Linked DNA regions of Mytilus edulis. The protein of the gene in region 1 interacts with the protein of each later gene in a pairwise test. Links are inferred from orthologs where the notes say so. Each region holds a gene or a part of one and is shown on either strand. Other genes may lie near its edges.

The links. The genes of interacting proteins can lie anywhere in the genome.
Region 2: the proteins of SUMO-conjugating enzyme UBC9-B (region 1) and BTB/POZ domain-containing protein kctd15-like interact in a two-hybrid assay, tested with the Drosophila melanogaster proteins (2 studies listed by BioGRID). The link is inferred for Mytilus edulis from reciprocal best matches to the Drosophila melanogaster genes lwr and twz.

Annotation. Positions count from the first base shown.
Region 1 is NC_092352.1:32,415,324-32,427,319, reverse strand, and holds the start of SUMO-conjugating enzyme UBC9-B, read left to right. Parts: upstream 1-6,958; 5' UTR 6,959-7,031; exon of another isoform or gene 7,032-7,122; intron 7,123-8,660; exon of another isoform or gene 8,661-8,709; intron 8,710-9,846; 5' UTR 9,847-9,859; coding exon 9,860-9,925; intron 9,926-10,142; coding exon 10,143-10,226; intron 10,227-11,996. Other genes in the region: RAD50-interacting protein 1-like, read right to left, coding at 527-661, 1,085-1,258, 2,943-3,184, 6,767-6,889.
Region 2 is NC_092348.1:19,367,131-19,378,285, forward strand, and holds the start of BTB/POZ domain-containing protein kctd15-like, read left to right. Parts: upstream 1-5,772; 5' UTR 5,773-6,003; intron 6,004-8,122; 5' UTR 8,123-8,149; coding exon 8,150-8,328; intron 8,329-11,155. UniProt on the Drosophila melanogaster protein: Functions with the transcription factor TfAP-2 to regulate octopamine neuronal signaling pathways that control behaviors such as male aggression, male mating, and the initiation of feeding.

The sequences.
Region 1 (11,996 bases):
TGGGACACATATAATGCTCCCTCATGCACATAAATTATAAAGCGTTATAACCCATGAACGATAAAAGTAATGCCAACCAAATTCAGAGTAGATTTGAATTTTATGGTAAAGGCATTGTATATAAGTTTTATGACATATGATTGAGACAAACTTAGGTTAGAGAACGGAAACAAAAAATTCAGCAATTTTTCAATTTGCAAAGGGCCATAGCTCTAGAATGGTAAAAGTTATGCCACCTAAATTCAAACTTGACTATGAAGTAATTAGCATTGTGTATAAGTTTCATGATATTTGTTGAGTAAACTAAAGTTAAGAGAACAGAAAACAAATTTTGGGAAGCAAGAACTTAAGGACGAACAAAAGAAACACATAAATATTGAAACCAAATAAAATAAGTTTGATTAGCTATATAATCTTCATTTAAATTCACTTTTTATGCCCCACCTACGATAGGGCATCCGTGTACTATGGACACATTCTTGTTTTACTTTTAATTACTTTGTCATACTGAAATAAATAAGGATACGGAAGCTGTATAGCCAAAAGTGACATAAATAGTTTCTCCAGCAATTCATAATGTTGACTGCTGTGTACTGGTGGAGATTTAACTGTATTCCCAATCATTGGCCAACCAACTGACTTCAATGTTTCTTCAAAATCACTGCAAAAAAGATGGTATCATGATAGTAACAATCTATGAGTCCACTTCTCCCAATTTCATACTATCACATGTGTATGACTTTGTATTTTTTTGTTTAACTTGCTGTGCTTATTTATTTTGCATTATTAAGGTATAAACCCAATAGGACCTGATTTTTCAAATGCAGTCAAAATGTTCATCATGACTCTTGTTAATACAATGTACGAACTAAAAGGACCAATAATTTTTTATTTGCACTCTGATTATGTCTTTCACAATTACATGTATCATTGTGAGAAAGGCAACAAGCAATTAATATTTAATTCAACTTTAAAATAACTTTAACTAGTGGTAGAAAAACATCTTTATCAATCAGATAAATTATACTTTAATCATCATGATCTACATAAATTGTTAAGAACTACCAAATAGTATATATTGTACCTTGCAAGTTTTTCATGAAGTATCTTATACCAGAATAGAATTGTGTCTTTGATGAATTTGAGGAGATGTTTACAATGGGATCCACTGTGTTTATGATAAACATGAGTCATGGTCTGAAAACTTTCCACAGCATTACTCATGACATCTGTCAACATAGCCGTCTGAATATCTGAACTAAAATATAAAATATATGACAATACGACATGTGTCATGGTCTGAAAACTTTCAACAGCATTAGTCATGACATCTGTCAACATAGCCGTCTGAATATCTGAACTAAAATATAAAATATATGACAATATGACATGTGTCATGGTCTGAAAACTTTCCACAGCATTACTAATGACATCTGTTAATATAGCCGTCTGAATATCTGAACTGAAATATAAAATATATGACAATAAGACATGTGTCATGGTCTGAAAACTTTCAACAGCATTAGTCATTACATCTGTTAACATAGCCGTCTGAATATCTGAACTAAAATATAAAATATATGACAATAAGACATGTGTCATGGTCCTAAAAACCACAGCATTGGTCATTACATCTGTTAACGTAGCCGTATGAATGTCAGAACTTAAATATAAAATATGTGACAATAAGACATGTGTCATGGTCTGAAAACTTTCCACAGCATTACTCATGACATCTGTTAATGTAGCCGTCTGAATGTCAGAACTAAAATATAAAATATTTGACAATAAGACATGTGTCATGGTCTGAAAACTTTCAACAGCATTAGTCATTACATCTGTTAACATAGCCGTCTGAATATCTGAACTAAAATATAAAATATATGACAATAAGACATGTGTCATGGTCCTAAAAACCACAGCATTGGTCATTACATCTGTTAACGTAGCCGTATGAATGTCAGAACTTAAATATAAAATATGTGACAATAAGACATGTGTCATGGTCTGAAAACTTTCCACAGCATTACTCATGACATCTGTTAATGTAGCCGTCTGAATGTCAGAACTAAAATATAAAATATTTGACAATAAGACATGTGTCATGGTCTGAAAACTTTCAACAGCATTAGTCATTACATCTGTTAACATAGCCGTCTGAATATCTGAACTAAAATATAAAATATATGACAATAAGACATGTGTCATGGTCCTAAAAACCACAGCATTGGTCATTACATCTGTTAACGTAGCCGTATGAATGTCAGAACTTAAATATAAAATATGTGACAATAAGACATGCGTCATGGTCTGAAAACTTTCCACAGCATTACTCATGACATCTGTTAATGTAGCCGTCTGAATGTCAGAACTAAAATATAAAATATTTGACAATAAGACATGTGTCATGGTCTGAAAATTTTCTACAGCACTTCTCATTACATCTTTCTGCATAGCTGTCTGAATATCAGAACTAAAATATAAATACAACATATATGATAGTTAAACTTAAATGCTTTATATGAATTAAATTTTTGTTCTCTATTACTTTTTTAGTTATTCATATATTATCTTTTTATAATAAACAAGAGTTTTCATTTCTAAGTTGATGAGACCATTACGGCACTTCATTGATAACTATAGGTTAAAATAAATATGTTAAACTGAAGCAACAAGTTGAACCAAAATTTATTACAGGAGGGGATAACAGACATACTGTCAAATAATATACTGTGGTGCTATTGTATGCAGGCATAACATGGTGCAAAAAGAAATGATAGCAGAGGTTTTATCCATCCTAATTACTCTACCAGCTTGTACCGCATGAAGGTGTCATTTCACTTGACATTCTATTTTCAACTCTTTATAGGTTATACACTGTTATATCATGGATACTTTATACATGTTAGATGACAATTAAAAATCTCTGTAGTATAACTGACCTCATTTTGTCAACCTCTTCTATCAGCTGTAGGTATGCCAGATAATACTGATACTGTTGAATTTCTGTCGTAACTTTTTCCAGTTCTTTACAAACATCCTGTTGATTTCTAACATGTTCCACGACCTGATGATGAAGGTTATCTTTACGGTGTTGTATGTTTGTCACCTCAGTCTGTGTATCATTAGCACCTTGTGTAGCATAGTCTATCTCAGTAGGCAAACTTGAACTGGCTTCATGTAACTGAAAAATAAAAGCTTTTTTGATGACATTCAGAAATTAACTTGGATGCTTAGTTTAAGAGTAGAGATTTTTGCATTATCAAACATTTGTAAACACAATGTCTCAGAAAGTCAGTGGCCTAAGTTTTTTGCACCGATTATACCAATCACTTTTAGCCTAATATTACAATGATTTAATAGGGTTCACATTTCTGTTAGTCTTTGGTTGTTGAAAAAAAATGATTCATCAATTGATGGGTTACAGATTAAGCAGGACAGAGAGCATGCAGCATTAACATGATTAATGCAGCAATAAGAAAAAAAGCCTGAAAGGACAAACATTTCACACAAAATAACACAGGCCACTATAAAACTTTAGCAATGCAAACTCCGCAATAATCAGGGAAGAACTGTAATACAACTTATGGCTATTTGTCCTCCATTATTGGACATGACACAGGTTCCTGTAAAATTTTGACGTCATATTACAAAATATCTGATGCCAAAATATCTGTTGCATCAGGCATCATCTCCTTTTAAATACGTCAAAATATAAGTGTCTTGGAAGAGAAGTAATTTGTTAAAGCTGACAAATACACGTATATGAAGCATCAGGCATTCCTTCCTATAAAAATTTGACAACATAAAAGAAATAATTTTAATCTACAGATGCAAGAATGAAACTGCAATCGTTGTTTGACATCCAAAGTTTAAAGGTCTATTGTGACAATAATGAATATACATTTTGTACATTTACTGTTTGGACAAAAATTTGAGGGCAGTCCAGTCATTTTGAAAAGGAGGGGGGGGGGGGTCAACAATATCATCATTATCATGTCCCTATTCAAAAGCATTGATCCTAAAACAGGGGGTGGTTACAACCCAGTAACAAGACATTTTGACACCAAAGTCTGAAGTAATTTTGGCATCAGTTTTCGACAATTCGGGACCAAGACAAGTCGCCACTTCATTTTTAAAAATATTATTATTAAGAAAAATAAAAGAATTGTTGCAGTAATATTAGATTTTGTAGATAAAATATGCATTACCGTAATTGGTTGTGTATAGTCCGCACTTTTTTACCTTAAATATGTAATTTGAACAAGGAATTTCTACAACCCCTGGTTCTGCCACTAATGGAAGGTCATTTTTTATACTACACTTCGTCTTGAAGACACTGACAAGTCCCTGTGGAAACCTCAATTTGGTTATTTAAACCTTCATTTCATTAAACTCTCACAAAATATACAACTATAATATTAGTAATCTACAAATGTATGTGCACAGTAGACATGTATAGAAATTAGGCATAAATGAGGGATGTAAATTATATGCCCTTTACTGACAGGCATCAAGCGGTAATTTTTTACTACCTATAGTGTCAAATTGGTTTAATTTTACTGTGATTCGTCAGATGTCTCAACAGTCAGGGGACTTACAATGTACTGAAATAAGTGATTTTTAAATCACTTATTTGAGTAGCAAATTCGAGGTTTTGTCACAAATTGGGATTTTGTAGTTTTTTCAAAATTTTAAACACATAGGTTTAAAAAATATCTTTTTATAAATTAGTAAAATTAAAAAAAATGAACTTTTTGCTTCTTTTAAGTAGAAAGGTTTATGCCTTTGATGCTATCATTTAGCTGAAAATTCTATTTTAGTTGAAAAAATGCTATAATAATGGCTTTACATAATGAACTGATATTTTCTTAAAAGATTTTTCCCAGCAGTGGGAGTATTTTTCCTGTGAAGTTCAAGGTTTTATCTTTCAGATTATCATTATGTAATAAAATTCTACTGTTCGCGATAAAAATTTCACTGTTCGGGGATGTTGAAATTAGTGGGGGTTATTATAAGAATGATACTTAAAGAAGTGATTTTTTTGAAGGAAATTGAGGTCTGATACTTAAACAAGTGATTTTTATGTCATTATCCTAGATTCAGTACAAGGTCATCACCTGAAATGACCTGGTCATCCTAGACAACACAGATGTTGGTTCTGATAAGTTTAGAAACATAATTAGTCCCTGGATCATTAGTATTCTATATTTAAAGCTACAATAAAATTAAATCACTTCTTCTAGTGATTAATTTGTACTACTTAAATAGGTGATTATTAAAGAAAGACAACTCTAACTTCCAACCTTTATGGAAATAATGTTACTTGAATCAGTGATTTAGAAAATCACTTATTTAAGTAAGTCCCCTGACTGCTTCATAAAGACTAAAGACTCAAATAGTTATCATCACCATTATTTTTGGAAAAAAAATAGCTTGATTCGTCAAATTCAGATAATTTTATCGTCTAAAAGAAAGTGTACAATTAATCGTCATGCACTAAAAATTACTGTTAACGTCATTTGGCAAGAATTTTTACCATTATCGTCGTGTCATATGTTTTCGTATGTCATATGTTTTCGTATCAACCACATTTCGTCGGTTTCGACTGCATACGCGTACATTGTGGCATGTTTTTCTGTTTCTATATTTAGAACAACAACACCACTACAACTTGATATATTTAAAACATATTCAACGTCGCTTTTTAAAGACGTTAGAACAAATTAAATAAAACTGACCTATTTAGCCATTTTTATTTAATGTCAAAAATACGCATCACTAGAATAGTTGTGGAAAAAAATTCTGAAGGGTTAAAATAAAGTCCAGATATGTTTTTTGCAAGTCAGACACCGGATCTTCAAGACGTATGACTGTCATGTGTTTTTTTGGCCGTTTTAATTACAAACCATCGAGTTAAAATTAGCAGGGTTCTTATATAAAATGGTTGTTCAAAATCTAACTATTCAATATTTCATTGACAATTTTTTTTATACATCCTTGATACATGAAGATGAAAACAGTCTTAACTTTTTATATTTAATCATAAATTTTGAAAACTGCATTTTATTTTAGAAAAAATAATGTATTTTGTACAAACCAGGTGCCAATCTGAAATTAATCAAAATCCGTAAAAATTTCATCACACGAAACACCAACCTTACACTTTTTACTAGTAATTTTTTGTACTGAAAAGTATTTAATAACTTTTTTTAAGATTTAAGCGATCACCCGAACCACGACTTTAGAAAAAATGTATTTCCGGATTTTGTAGTCATTTCCTGTCCGTGTACTGATCCAATTTTTATTTCATACGAAAACATATGACGCCGTTTTTTTGACATACAAAAATCGCAAAGTAATCGGAAACAGTAAAAAATCGTAGAAATCATTGACAAAAAAACTAGATACCTAAAATCAATCTACAGGACATGCTTTTTAAATTTGAGTAAACACCTAAATAAAAACTCAACAGTAAAAACCGTAAGCAGTGAAAATTGTTATTAGTACGAAAACACATTACACGATGATATACGTCATGAAGGTACCCCCATTACTACCCTCATAAATGTTTCAACAGTTCAAAAACAGAGCAAAATGAAATTGCTCATCCTCATTCCTGTGGGAAGCAGGACAAATCGCCACACTAGCAAAACGCCCAACACCAAATCGCCACACTTTTTCACAAACTCGCGATTTGCCAGTGGGGCGATTTGTCATGGATTCATTCATGTGTACTGTTCCTATGACTTAAGGCATTAATTACTTGTTGTCCTAATGACTCAACAGTTTCTTTTATATTTTTATGAACATCTTTTAAATCTGATAGAGTCTTTATATTTTGGTTCAAGTATTCTGTAACGTGGACATTCTTCTCTGATTTTGCCATCTGTGAAGAAAGGGATTGTTTACATAGTTGCTTCCCTTAGAAAAAAATAGTTGACATACATCGTACAAACGCTTGACGCGAAGGTGTTAGATTAATGTAAAGCGTCTAATTGATCTGTTCACGTGACATAGTTTTTCCAGCGGTAAGTTTCGTGAAATGAGAAAGGATTTTTCTTTAAAACCATTTACTCTTTTGAATGACACATAAAACTGTAAAAGTACCCTCACATATTTGTACGATTTTATATATACAACTGTTATCTTTGAATAGATTCTATTTTTTCGTGTTATCTTCGTTAAAACAAGAAAATCATGAATGGTTCTTTGCCTAAATGGAAACAGGATATCCAAGTTATTCTTTCTAATCCGTGGAGTAACTATTTCAATGACATGCTATTGAAAACAAAGCTGAATGATAAACATTTGAATTACCACAACCCCTTCAGACTAAATCCCTTTTTCCTGGTTAAGGCCCCATCCTGCATCCCAGACTCAAATTGTTCAATGATTGTTAATAATTTTAACCTTATCAATTGGGTTTTATTGTAAATACTGTATGTAACCAAAGGGGACTAGATTTGTAATGTGACCATAGGTAGGCCCACAGAGTTTAAGCTTACTGTAGACTGTTAGAAACAAAACTCAATTATAAGGAAGAAGATTCTTATTAGACTACCGACTAGTCTATTTTTATAGACCAAATAATTTACTTCTCTGAGTTACTTAATCTTTTGACAAGATAACTAAGAAGTGACTAGTCTGTGTGACTTTTTCCCAAAATTGAAACTGTAATTTGAAGTAAAATCATGCTTCCAATTTGCTGTTGGTAAAAAAATCAATTGTTTTCCAATAATTTTGTCATATAAAAAAGAAATTACTGTTACAATGTAGTTTAATTTTTCACCAAAGTGTCATCCAAAGAAATGGAATCATGAGACATTAATTTTTTGCACACAGCACCAGTGACCTATACTGCTATCCCTGCTCTGGGGTGGATCCAGCCATTTTGAACATTTCATTGTTGTAAAAACATCTAAAGGGCACCTGCCACCCTCACTGGTAGAGATATAAAAGGCTGATTATTGTTATATAAACAAATTTTGTGTTATAATCTTAATAGTTAAGGATGTAAATGTAAATGTAATTATGCTTAAATTGTATAAACACATACATGTATTAGTAATTGACAAAACTTGTCAAGGTCATTTTTGCTGAAAAGTAAAGTTTTACAAAATCATAAACAGTTTGACTTAGCTTTAACATTTGTGATTAAAGGGAGTACTGACTGGTACCTTTCCAAAATTGCATCCCTATTTTTGAAGATGTTTTTGAAGGAATTTATATAGATTTCCAACATGTCCAAAAATAAAAGGAAAACAATTTTGTTTTGTACCCTGCAATATAAACATTATATTGAATAGCTGGAGGCATGTTAAAAAAAAATGAGACACTATTTTTGTGAATGGTGATAATTAAAGCCATTGCTTTAATTAATAAACCAATTATTATAAACATTTGACTTGAATATTTTTTTCTTCATTCAAGTTGTATTATTTGGCAGCTAATGAGTTATATTTTACTAATTGATCATGATATAAAACATTATCCAAAACTTTAGAAAAAGTAATGTTTATACTTAAAAGAGGTTTATAAAGAAGAATTAAAATCCATTTTGGAGTTTCTAAGTATTTAATCTTTTAAGACTTTGTTGGAGTAATAAAAGTCAGACTCTAATATAAGTATCTCATACCTTTACTTTTTAAATTAGAGACGCATGTTAGGGTTCCTGTTGAAGGTGGTTGATATTTGAAGAGAAAAAAGGTAGAGTTTGCTTTAGATGTTCTATTTTAATATATGGTTAAAAAGAAACAAAAAGGGCATTTTCTTTTAATTTAAACTTTCATTTTCTTTCGTTGAATAAAAATTTCTATAAAAAAAAAAATTGTACAGATAAATAACGATAATATTTATTTAAAACTATTCCATTTCTTCAATAATTTATAACTGCAAATAGAATTACTTTTAATCTTATGGACTACACATAATAATTTCAAAGGAGAAATAAACAAATATACTAAATTGTTTTAACAGTAGACATGTAGAAATAGGAATAAAAATAAAATAAAATAAAGAAATACAAAAGGACCTTTTAGGAGTGAAACTGGGTAACTATTTATAGAGACTGAATGATATTCTTTGGCTTTATATTAATTAAAACCTTGTGGTAAAACAATACAATTTGTTTTATGTTTGATGTTGCATATAAGTTATTTATTAATGACTACCTGTATGTGGTTGGTTAGAATACATTTCTCAAAATAAGGTTTAGGGCTTTTCAAGTGTTTACAATTTGATCACCTGTTTAAAGTATACAAATTTCTAAAACAGTGCCCTCAAAATGGAACATCCTGTGGTTGGCTCCTATTTTGCATGTTGTAATGTTTTCTTTCATAAATTACTTGAAACACAAATTTGCTCAAACTAATGGTAGTCTACATATAGTTATGTTTAGGATCTATAGATGTTTTCTACATGTACAATGTATTATGTTTATGAGGAATGATTTACACATCTTTATATTATAATTCTCCGATCTTTCAAACCAAACAGGCAATTATGTTCAGGTGCATTTCTTTTAGTAGAAAAGCTACTTGTTTATTTATGTCTTCTTTTGATGAGTGAACAAACTTATTACTGTGACTTGAACGAATAGCAATTTGTTTTATCAAATCAAACTTCAACTTGTTAGAAATTTTTTCCAACTGCTAATGGGAAATACAGTTCAGTGGCCAAAGAACAAAGCTGCCAAATTCAACCGAAAAGACTAAAGAAAATTTGTTCTCTGTTGACCATTCAAATTCATGATTTACCTACATCCACAACATGAAGGAAAATTTGTAATTCATGTAACCAATTTCAATATTTATCAATAAATTTGTATGTATTTTACTTTTGCAGTTGAACTAATAAGATGTCTGGCATAGCTGTAGGAAGACTGAGTGAAGAAAGAAAAGCTTGGAGGAAAGATCACCCATTTGTAAGTCAAACTATTATATATTATTATAGACTAAAAACAAGAAAATTATTTCATAGAATTACATTAATGTCATTGAGTTCCTTGTTGTATTGTTCAAGAAGTATTGTAAATAAAAAAGTGCACTGTATTTGTCATTTTAATATTCCTGTAACAAATATTCTGTAGGATTTAATTTATTTTGAGGGAGAGTATGTTGTTATATTATTTTCCTTTGCAGGGTTTTGTAGCCAGACCAACCAAAAATCCAGATGGAACATTAAATTTATTGAATTGGGAATGTGCAATACCAGGCAAGAAAGGGGTAAATAATGATTTCATATATTTTTTGGAAAGATTGGAAGCCAGGATAACCACTAAATATATAAACACTGAAATTTGGTTCCCAATACTCTCATGACTCTTGTATATATATATATATATATATGTAAATATGCACAGATGAACTGTAAAGCATTTTTCAAGTACTTTTTTTTAGTTTTGTCAATATGCTTACTAGTTTTATCTTTCTAACCCAGACTAGGTCAAACCAAATACATGTAGTTGAAAATTGATATTTGAAGCTTTTATGCTTAGTACATTGCATTTAGGAGTAGGAGCTATGACTGGTCAGAATAATGATTCTTTGTTGTATTAAATGTATTCCTGAGGACTGAAACCTTGTTACCTACCTTGTTTAAAAACCAGCTCATTATTGTACCTAAATCCCCAGTCCCACTAGACAACGATCGAACCACGCTCACCGCGATCTAAAATAAATTCAGATTGTGGTGAGGTCGCGGTATGAGCGGCATAAAAATGTAATTTTTCGTTGCTTTCACAATGCTACTACATCCTCATTACCCTTCTACAACAATCCCGCTACGATTATACCACGTTCTCATTGCGCTTATCCTGCAACCTCACTACACTTATCAAGATCTTTCGACGCTCATCACGTTCCCACTACGACCATATCACGAGTTATCCGATTGCACCACGCTTCTACTGCGATTGTGGCATGCTCTACCACGATTATAATACGTTTATACCGCAATCTTACTACGCTCTCAGTTCTCAGCAATAACGTCAACATGGTGTTTCATATATACAGTTCCATTCCTTCTATTTCTGATTAATACGTAGATTTCTTAAAAACAATACAGTCATGCCACCAAAATCTACTAGAACACGTGGCCGTGGTGGTAAGGGTTGATGTAGAGGCAAAGGGTCACCTTAAAGTAACAGATCCTGATCCAGAAGAGATGTCGGACCAACCAATCCAACCTGAATTACAACCTATTGCTGGTCCATCAAGTTCAAATAACGATATTTTAGTGAACGATAACAGAGATGACACAGATGTGTCAATAGATATAGGAAGATGTGGTATGAGTGTTAATGAGACAACTCTCCATCCAAGTAACAATTTAAAAAAGTAAACCATTATAGTTCAAGGTACGGCCTTCAACACGGAACCTTGGCTCACACCGAACAGCAAGCTATGAAGGGTCCAAAAATTACTAGTGTAAAACTATTCAAACAAGAAAACCAACAGTCTAATCTATATAAAAATGAGAAGCATGGTTGAGCCGTTAGAGAAATTCAAAATGACAAGAAAATGACAATGAGAATGATAGTCGTAGTATGAACGTAGTGTGGTTGTAAGAAGAGTGTGATGAGGACGACAAGGGCGTGCTAGAATGGTATTGTGGTTTTGAACAGCTTGGTGGAAACGTGGTATGGTTGTAGTTGAAGTGTGCTTGGGTCGTGGTGAGAAAGTGATGGTCGTAGTGAGGTCGTAATAACGTCTCTGTGATATCGTAGCGGAGTCTCTCTGAATAGAAATTCGCTACGAAGGTACAGCGACCTTTGAGATCTTTGACCTGATTTCACTGCGACCGCACCACGATTGTTTTGAACATGTTCAAAGTTGGCCACGCTCATCACGATCTTGGAAGACCTCACCACGACCATGATACGACCTTAATGCAATCTACACGATCGTAATATGATCATCAAAATTTTCATTTTTTTACAAATTGTGCGATCGTGGCCTTGTGGGACTGCGATATTACCAGTTTCATACTCATGG
Region 2 (11,155 bases), on another chromosome or scaffold:
TTAACAGCAAAACACCTAACTACCAAACAACCTGGTTTCCTATAAGATCAATATATTAATGAGTTAGCTGTAGAGTTTTATGAAAATCCAAGTTGATTTGAAAAAGTTACAAAAAAAATTAAAGTTGACTATCTGAATTTATCCATTACTAAAAATTTGAGCTTTTTTTCTTACCTATTAATTAAATCCACAAATTTAACACCAAAACACCAAACTATCAAACAACTTGGTATTCTATAAGGTCAAAATAATTTATAAGATAGTCCGAACAGAAAATTCTAGCTTTTTTATTCCTTAATTAAATCCTTAAAGTTGACAGAAATGAACCAAGCTACCAGTTTTTGAGACATGTTTTGAGAGCCCGCAAAAGAAATTTCCTACACACCGATAAAATTGATAGAAAATTTTCCTATAAAATATGTTCTGGCCCATCCACTAAATATTTTAAAAAAAGTTCTCGCCCATCCAAATATTTCCACAAAAAAAGTGCTTGCCCCGCCCCATTTTGCACCGGCCCATCCATCTGATAAATATTGAACGGTCCCTAAGATTGTCATCCTATCTGATTGTCTTCACGTTTTAAAAGTAAAAAAGCAAACGAGTTAATGACCCTCGGACGCCTGTACCAAGTCAGGAATATGACAGTTCTTGTCCATTCGTTTTTGATGCGTTTTGTTTTTTGATTTTGCCATGTGATTATGGACTTTCCAAATTGATTTTCCTCTGAGTTCAGTATTTTTGTGATTTTACTTTTTTTTGTTATCATTCAATGACCACCGGAACGTCTCTCTTGTTATCTTTGAAAAGAAACGATGCATTCTGACTTTAAACAGACAACCAATCAGTGACCTGAATTCATGTGAACTATATTTAGCCCAAGGTAAACACTGACTTTTCATCCTTGTTTATCGTGACCGCGACTTTGCGAAAATACGTCTCTCGGCTGCCTGTAAACATTTGAAAAAGATATTATTTTCTTTTTGAATTTATATTTTTGTCAGTGAAGTAGCCGGCACTTGAAGCCACCGCAAACGGCGGATTTCCGCCGGCTACCGGCTTCAATGGAAAGCCCTGCATGCATGTTGTATGTTGTATTTTTTTGTCAATTAAAAACTTTAAAATTGCAATAGTTTTATTAGCATTTAAACACAGCCAGATTTGAATACAAGTTAAGAAATTCCGGTAAAGTCAATGATATCAAACAGATGTACAATGGTATATCAAATTGGGTAATATTGCATTTAGTTTTTATAAAAGATTAAAACTACTATTTTTTGCTTCATATTTGAATCTTTACGCCAATTGCCGTTAAGAAAGTAATCAAAAATTGTTTCCTTTTATTTTTATACACTTTCGGAATTACGAATCTGAATTTTATTTTCAATTAATCTACACAATTTAATTATTGTATCTTTATTCTCATCGTGTATTAAATCTTAGTGTACTAACATCGTGACAGCATACGCTTTCTAATCCTTTCTGTTTATCCTTTCCAAATAACAACATTTATACCTGTGTACGCTTGAACTCACACCTGCGGCTAAATAGCTACAAGGTAAACGAATTGACCTCAAGCCGAGAAATATACAGTGACATTTACAAAATAATATACATGTTCCAGACCATATGAGTATTCGGACCGTACGCGTACGGTCCGGACCGTATACGTATACTCGTACGGTCCGACCATACGCGTACGGTCGGACCGTATGAGTATACGCGTACGGTCCAGCTACCCATGCATGTTTTGAGATCATATGGGTTAAATTTAAACAAAAATTTATCAAAATCTGTCTTATTAGTTATACAAATTGTTATTATTACAATTAGATGGATAAAGTGAATAAGCGAACAATTGAAATTAAATATTTGTTTAACTGTATATCTGAATCATATTTTGTTACTCTGGCACAAGGTGACACTTGTTCAGTACCATAAGGAACGTCATAATTTTTTTTACAATGACGTGTTTTGTTCATGTATGTTTCTTGGCATAAGCATTTTTTTTTTTAAAGTTCCTAATTTTTTTTTAAACAATTGTCCTCCCACATTATGTTTACTTCCGATAACTTCAATTTCAATGAGCATACTGGGCTGCAATTAATGAATTACTGACATGCTAAATACAGGAGATTAACAGATTAAATAAGCGTGATTTGTTTAAATAGATAAAAAATATTAAGTTTTTATTTCATTTATTATTGAACTTTTTATATCAATTTTAGATATAAGTCATGTTGATCTGTTATATACATTTGCATCTAATAATCTTGACAAACTTCTTAATATAAGCTAGACCGTACGCGTACGGTCCAAATACTCATACGGTCTGGAACATACACACTCTGCTCACACATTAGTTGCATTGAAATGATTATCAAAACAATAACGGTAAATAGAACTGAAATATTTTCAGTTCAATATCAGTAACAATGTTCAATAAATATTTTATGAAAAAAAATCTCAACAATAATTAATTAAATTTATTCTAAAACATTTACTAGAGATAATTTTATAGGAGTTTGATTCAATCAATACAAAACGGTATATGCACATTCATTTTCGTTCATTCTTATATATATTGTGGTTAATAACTTCGACCATTCGTCAGCTGTGCGCTTTTAATTACGTATATTGTCGATAAGCTATAAGAGTTAAACAGATTTTATTTTTTCCCAGAATTCAATAAATTGGGCTAATACGTCACGACCCACTCGAGAATTCAACCAAAAAAGTTACAAATACTTGATTTTCTCCGTTATTAGAAGGAATATAAATTTAAAACTTTGCAAATGTGTTTTTTATGTTAAGATGAACATAATTAGATGATAAGTAAAAAATCGCGAACTTTCCCTTTAAAAAAAATAAGACATTCCGCTAACGTCAGAGAGTTTTGTGAATATCAACTATATGGTCATTTTTATATATTTCCTGTTTACAAAATTATGAATTTTTCGAAATACTAAGGATTTTCCTATCACAGGCATAGATGACCTTAGCCGTATTTGGCATAACCTTTTGGAGTTTTGAGTCCCCAATGTTCTTCAACTTTGTACATCTTTGGCTTTATAACTGTTTTGATTTGAGCGTCACTGATGAGTCTTGTGTAGACGAAATGCGCGCGTCTGGCGATCTAAATTATAATCCTGGTACCTTTTTATAACTACTATGAGAGTTTAATGCGTCGACTTTATCATGAATTTGACTACTGTTCCTAAATGTCTAAAGATATTACGGCAGAGCACACCTCAATTGTATACATTTCATGCATGATATGTGCCATTTGGCAATCATCTGTAGAATCCACTACTAGGGTACAGAATGATCAATCGGCCGAGTTGAGACGAATGGGTAATGTGCTAGGTGGGAATATTATTGTTTGGGTGGCTGGTAAAACTACTTTTAACATAAATTTTCAAAAACTGATATAAGTGGTTCAGACATTTGAAACGTATCTTTTTCTTGATAATCCCATTTTCAAAAGTTTGAAATACGTAGTGTCTAAACAATATGTCAAGCTGTTAATTGTCCCAAGTCTAAACAATATGTCAAGCTGTTAATTGTCCCAAGTCTTTAACAAGAATGTGTCCCTAGTACACGTATGCACCATCCGCACTTTCATTTTCTATGTTCAATTGACCGTGATAATGGGGGGAAATCTCTAATTTGGCATTAAATTTAGAAAATCATATTATAAGGAACATGTGTACTAAGTTTCAAGTTGATTGGACTTCAACTTAATCAAAAACTACCTCGACCAAATACTTTAATCTGAAGTGGGACGGACGAACGAACGGACGCACAGACCAGAAACATAATGCCCATAAATGGGGCATAACAATTCGGTTATTAGTAACTAAAATCTTCAAAATCTGCAATGAACATCAAATTAAATCAACAACAACAAAAAACCTTGATCCCACGAATGAGGCTCCTTACCTTGGGATCGGCAGGTAATAATGTTGAGAGGTTAAACTATGTTGTTCTATAGATCTCTCACATTATAAATCTCGATCAGTACTTGAACTAACAGAATATGCATAAATGAACATAAAACGGTATAGGGAAAACCTTAACTTTAAAATAATGTTCAGGTTACCAGATAAAAAAAAAAAAACACAATAACAACTTAAACAATCCTAAAGAATAATATATGTTACCAAGAACTCTATTAACTATTAAAGTACACTAATTGTTTAAGATTTGTTATTTCGGAGCCTTTTATAGATGAGTATGTGATATGGGTTTTGCTCATTGATGAAGGTCGTTCGGTGATCTATAGTTGTTAATTTTTGTGTCATTTGATCTCTTGTGGAGAGTTGTCCCATTTGGTAATCATGACACATCTTATTTTTATATTCAACTACCTAATCTCCTAATAATCCCGTCGTACGGCGTACTTTCTAATATCGTCGGTTGTACTTCATTGTAATGTGCGTACGGCACTGTCATAAATAAAGCTACATGAAGACACGATATGCGCAGAACGATTTCACTTACTGTCGTTTCAGAAGAACAAAACATTTCATCCTGCTGTAAACCACAAATTAAGCGAATTAATTCTGCAAATTTTCTTTCGAAGTATGGAACCATGTAATAAAATATCCTAGAGATCCCTACTCTTGTACACAAATTATTGTTCTGAAATATGAAAAATGTTTGTTTTGGACCGGGTTTTTTTTTGTCCCTTATTGCTACACAGCTATTTAGAATATTTATCAATATGCCCATTATAAGAACGTGTTGACGGAAAATGCGTGAAATTGTTAGCTTTATTATTCATGTTATTAATATGAACGTAACAACTTGAATTGGATGCGAAATGCCTTCTTTTTTTCAGTTCCTAGTTTAATTTAGTTTAAACATATTTTATTTGCATAAGTAGCAAAAGGGATTGGACACAAGTTATAACAACATTAGAGACGTCCTCTCCCAATATAAATATAAACACAGTTCCTGCGAATGGAATTATGATACTTCTACAGTGAAACCCATTTAGGACCATAAATATAGACCAATTTGAATCAATAACATGAATATTCACGACCTCCATTTGTGATCACAAATTTTAAAAATATTTTGGGGGTCATATATGGGCTTCCGTACTTAGTTTACCCAAATGCCTCTATCCATACTTTGATCTGCCACTACATTATGTACAATTAAGAGAGATAATACAACCCATGTATCGATTTACATCAGGTTTGGGTTCATGGTTTTGTTGGAAGGTGTTAAATTATTTTTTCTAATTATTATTATATTTTTTATATTTTTTTTATTTTATTTTTTTTGGGGGGGACCTTTGGATTAATATTTAGTGTTGTTAACCGTATTTATTTTGTTTTCCATTTTGGTGGTGGGAGGGGGGTGGGGGTGGGGGCGAAAAGGGTGAGACTTACGGACGTTTGTTGATTTATCAATGTTGTAACAAATCTGGGTTTATCGACAAGAACATGAACGACATATTTGCGTTACATTGTCAATCAGAAACTGCAACTGTTGCTGATTTTGATACTTTTTATATTTTATAGATATAATTCACAATGAAAACATGAATACCCAGTATATTGTTAGTGTATTCTGAAGAAATAAATGACATATTGTCCTCATTAATAAATTAGTATTTCAAGAAGTTTAACGCACAAGACAGATAAATGAAAGTATAGCCCGGTGACATTTTTGTCGTTTATAAATAACTAATGAATGTATTGTGCCAAACTAAATTGAACACAGCATCTGTTTGGTTGCTATGGATCTCTGCCTGAGGCAAAGTTTCTTCATTTAAACGTGACCTATATGTAACTATGAAGCCTATAGCATAATGTAGAAAAAGCCGCGTTAATACGATTTTGCCTTGGGGTATAATACCCGCCAGTTCAATGCCGACGCCGGTAAAAGCTCATTTAAATGAAGAAGGCGGATCTGAGAAGCTTTAGAAAATTTTAGTGGTATATACATGTTACAATAACAGGGGAAATTTAGTGAAGAAAGCATATATTTCAGGTAAAGTTATATTTGTTATACATTCATGATTCATTGATCTTTTAGTTTATTGGTATTTCATGTTATTGTGTGTAGATAATCCATTACGCTGTGAAACTTGATTAATTAATTATAGCTTATACAATTTTCATATTTCTTTTTTAATAGAAAACAATAAATCAAATCTATCGTTGGTTTAACAGGGGATCATACATTGATAGTAAAATGTTGTATATATATCTCACTGATGCAAAATCACCACTGTCCTTACAACTTTAATAGGAAATCAACAGTTCCCTAATAAGGAACCAAGTTTTCGTTGTTTTATCATCAAAATAACCAAAAGAAATTTTGTTAACGATTATTTACATGTATTTATGTATTTTCAAATCGACCAGTTTATTATTTCCCACAGAGTGTCCCTCTTTGTCAATGAATAAATCTACCCGCAGGCTATTTGTCAAATTATAATGGTATTTATAAATGTCAATATTTAAGTGTTATAGCTTTATTTGTAATTTGAATATTCATGTTTAAACACATAAGTGACAAAAATCTCTTGTTATTGATAATTCTCTAGATAATGATTCAGTTAATAAATATAAAATCATATGTTCTTAAAATATTTCAGATTATTTATTTTCATATCATACTTAAAATTTAAGTCCTTAATTATTGCTCGAAGCATATATACATGTATATGATTAGTACTATAGCTGTTACATCATTGCCTCTTGCCTTTAAATACTTTTACACCTCATGTCCGCTACTCTCGTGTCAGGATTAACATTCCGTCCAATTACCCACAATGGAACATCATCCGTAGAGTGATTCATTCCTGGTATAGACTATACATTCAAACTTTTAGGATGGAAACATTTTTAAAACTGTTTTTTTTTTTTTACTATAGACGAATGTAGTTGAATGCATTGGTGATTTTAATTTAGTAAGAAACGGAAACACAACCATTTAGAACATGTCAGTTTGTAGTGTACAACGCACATTCAACCTGAAAAGATATCCGATTAAGATTTGTTAAGAAATATACTAAGCTGTACAATTCAAATATTCTGGTATGAAATAAATTTATGTTGGCACAAAAATGTTTTGTTTTACTCTCTCTATCTTTCATGAGGGTTCCTTTGCGAGGAATGGTTCGTAATCGTATCCCAAACAAATAAAAGTTATGTCATGGTCAGGTTATCGCGTCTATCTTAACTTTCGTCTTATCATCAGTTCACCTTCTGGATGCCATCAATTCATAATTTACCATGATAACTAGTCCTTACTTGTATCGTAAGAGTTGCACGAAAAACGTTTTCCTCTTACAAATATTTCAATTGCCCTCCAACTCTTCGGTAAATAATTCATGTGATTTGTCAGTTGCAAACTCCAACCTCCACAAAGAAGTGTTTTTGTATAAAGATTAAGTTCTGTAGTTCAGAAGGCAGACTACTGTGATACTTCATATATTATACTATAGTATACAGATGTCGTACGTTCTAAAATTATGGTATCTCTTTTTCCGTTGATCTGACTTTTATGAAATACATAATCACGTAAACTTCTCAAATTTTATAACTATAATAGCGTAATTATTTGGAATCCTTGCAAGGTCTTCATGTCTGTCAAACAGGATTCCTCTGACCTCCATCTTGTTCAACGGAGCAGTGATCAAAGCTTAGATTTCGTGATTATGTCCATATATCTCAGAAACTTGAGCAATTATTATATGCTATTAATGATATATAAAATATGGGATGGTTGTAAGGTGTACATGTCCGTCAGGCAGGTTTCATCTGATCTTGACCTCATTTTCATGGTTCATTGGTCAGTGTTAAATTTTCGGGATTTGGTTCGATTTAGGTACTATAAATATATTAAGTCGACTTCAGGTGGCATACAGTTTGTATGTAATGCTTTAATGCTTGCAAAGAGTTCTTTTACGTTTGGGTTAACTGACCTTTACCTCATTTAACCTGAATAATGGATATTTGTAGTAAACCTTATGATAAAATTCAAGGACGATTACTAAAGAGGACGAGATTAAATCTATCACCACTTTTCTGCATATATGCGGAAATGTGGACACTTTGATATATGAGATATAAATGACATTTTTTTTATATTTTCATTATAGATATTGAATATTGAAACCTAATGGGCGATGACGTCTCCGGTGCCAAACCAGACATCAGCTTCGCCTAGATCACTTCACAATGGCGTTTATTCAAAGATACCGATGTCGGGAGTGCCATGTCCCGCCACCCCAACACGATATACAGCACCTGTACATATAGATGTGGGAGGTGTCATCTACACAGCATCTCTAGAGACACTCACGAGGTAAGGTGGCAGATAATATCAAAATAAGAAGAAGTGGTATGATTGCAAATGAGACAATTCCCCATCAAAATCACAATTTGTAAAAGTAAACCATTATAGGTCAAAGTCCGGGGTCAAAGTACGGTCTTCAACACGGAGCCTTGGCTCGTACTGACCATGAAGTATAAACGGCCCCAAAAATAACTAATGTAAAACAATTCAAACGGGAAAACCAACGATCTCATCTACATAAAAAACGATAAGTTCATTTTGAACAGTCCAGACGGTTCTATAACCCTCACAGTCATTTGTTTCATCCGATGATCAAAACCTCCATCCTATTGTTTCCACAAAAGAAGAAGGAGAGGCCTTTGTCATTGCTGGAAACATGTGACAGTGATATTCTTCCTGTAAGATTCACTAGTCTATCCCTAATAAAGAAACAAGTAAAGAGTATACAGACGTTAAACGGTTCACATGATATACAGTCACGGAAGCTTTTGGATAAAACTTACATTTTGCAATTGAATTCATTGCAAAAAAGTTAAACAAAAACAAAATAGTCATAATTTAGAAGAAAAAACAACAGATGATGCTGGTACACAGGGAATAATAATCAGCACCAGCAGGCCATGTGTCGTTTATCTTAGCATCGATATTGTAACCGTAGAACTGAGGTTACGAAGATATGGCTCTTGGGGATGCATTATTTAGTACGTGTTTCTTAAATCTAAAAGTACGATGACTATTGTCAAACTTGGAGAATGAAAATTTCATAATACCTGCAATTTATATAACTGTGAAATATGCTATAAAATGTAAAAACAGGCCACTGATGCTATCCTTAATCGATAGATTTTTTCAGATATGAAAGACAAATAATTACCAGATCACAAGTTGGATTTCAAATAAAAACCTATATTGAAAACAACTCTTATGCAGTTTTTGTTTATGATTATGTTAATGTGTATGTGATGTATAAAGAAGCCTCTGAGTTATAGTAAAGTCTGGTAATAAGAAGCATCATCGGCATGTTCTGACCCTTTTCTTCTTAAGATACGAAAATTGATCAACTTTTAACGATTTATTTTTGCAGCACATGTCTTAGGAATTTTTTAGTTAATAATATCTTACCCTCCCTTTTTTTGTTAATTTTTAATTTTGATCATTTTATACAAGCTGTTTTATATATTAATCCGATAAGAATTTTTAATGTTGTCAGTGCAAGTGTGGTTATGTTATTATGTTAATTGGCTAATATTAGATTTACCTTAACATAATGCAGTCACACCCTTCTTTCTTAACACATAAAACATAACTTATTATTTGAGTCGAGCAAGCAGTGTAAAGTTATCCCTAAAACTTTTTAAAGTGCTCCACTTAAAAAAAATATATATACCTTTTCCTTTAATTTGTACTGAATTAACGGAAGAAAAAAAATATAGACAAATGCAGAAAACATTCATCTTATAGTTGTCACAATAGAAAATATACATATAATTTCATAACAGAATCATGGAGAGGGTGGTATACTTCATTCACAATGTTTGTCCATTCGTGTGTTCGTCTGTCTGTCTATCTATTCGTTCGTCAGACCGTTACATTCTATTACATTAAGCAGCGTTTATAAATTTGAATGAGTTGGTGCTTGGTCAAGAACTTTACTCTGTTCAGTTATTTTTTTTTACCAGACAGTCATGAACTCACCGTTTGATGTCCCCTTGATTTTTTTTTATACAAAATGGCCATGTATGTTTTCGTCTATGCATCAGTCGTCAAGTGAACGAATGCGAGTATATAATTTACGACAGCAGTATTATGTAACTTTTTTTGTTTCTTAAACATTAATCTACCACGTTTCTTATTAAAAGTCAGCATGATTTTAATGGGTAACAGGTAACAATTATGATTATCAAAATATTTAATATGTGGTGAGGTAATATGCATAGTGAATGCACGACAGTGCTAGATGAACGAGGCAACATTTTATAAAATATAACAAATGACAATGCCTGTGGTGTAATTTTTTACCAACGATTTTTATACTTTTATAATAAGAGTATTGTTTGATATGAAATTAAGATGGATTGCTATTTGTGGCAAATGTAACATGCACATCATGGTGAGAACAGGGTAAAGTTATTTGCATTTTAATCCTACTTTGTACTGAGCCATAGTTTAACGTGCTAGTTCACAAGGAAACAGTTTTCAGGAAGAAATGTAAGACGTTAAGCACGTTATTCAGTCTTTTTGTTTAATTTGACCATTTCTTGATGCATAAGTAGTTAACTTACAATGTTGTATTCCGGACATCATATTTTGAATGTCATACTGGTAATCATTCTACTTTATTGTAGCTATTGCTCGTAAATGGTAATTTTAATAATATTAGTGATTTTGGATGTTCAAATGGATGTTCGAAGAAAGAAACTGACAATTATAATATAAAAACATAATATGCCAGGAAAGATATAAAAACGGCCGTAATTGTCAGTCAACTCTTTGTAGAAATGATTGACCTTGAAAGACTATTTATTCACATTTTTGTGTGATATTTTTGGTAACTATACTTAAAAGAAAGAAACTGTAAATATTACAATACGGTCAGGTCTACAGATAAGATCGAAATCATCATTCGACTTTATGTAGAAGAAATTACCATTAAACGGGACATTTACCCCTATTATTTTGACAGAAACTATATAGAAACTGTTTTAGAGAATTTCAGTGTAAATTTCAAATTGATCGACAAATTATATTTACAATTAGTCATCACAGCTGAAATTGTAATAGTATACTCCTTATAAGAGTTGTTGCACTTGAATAACGATTATTTACCAGTTTTGTT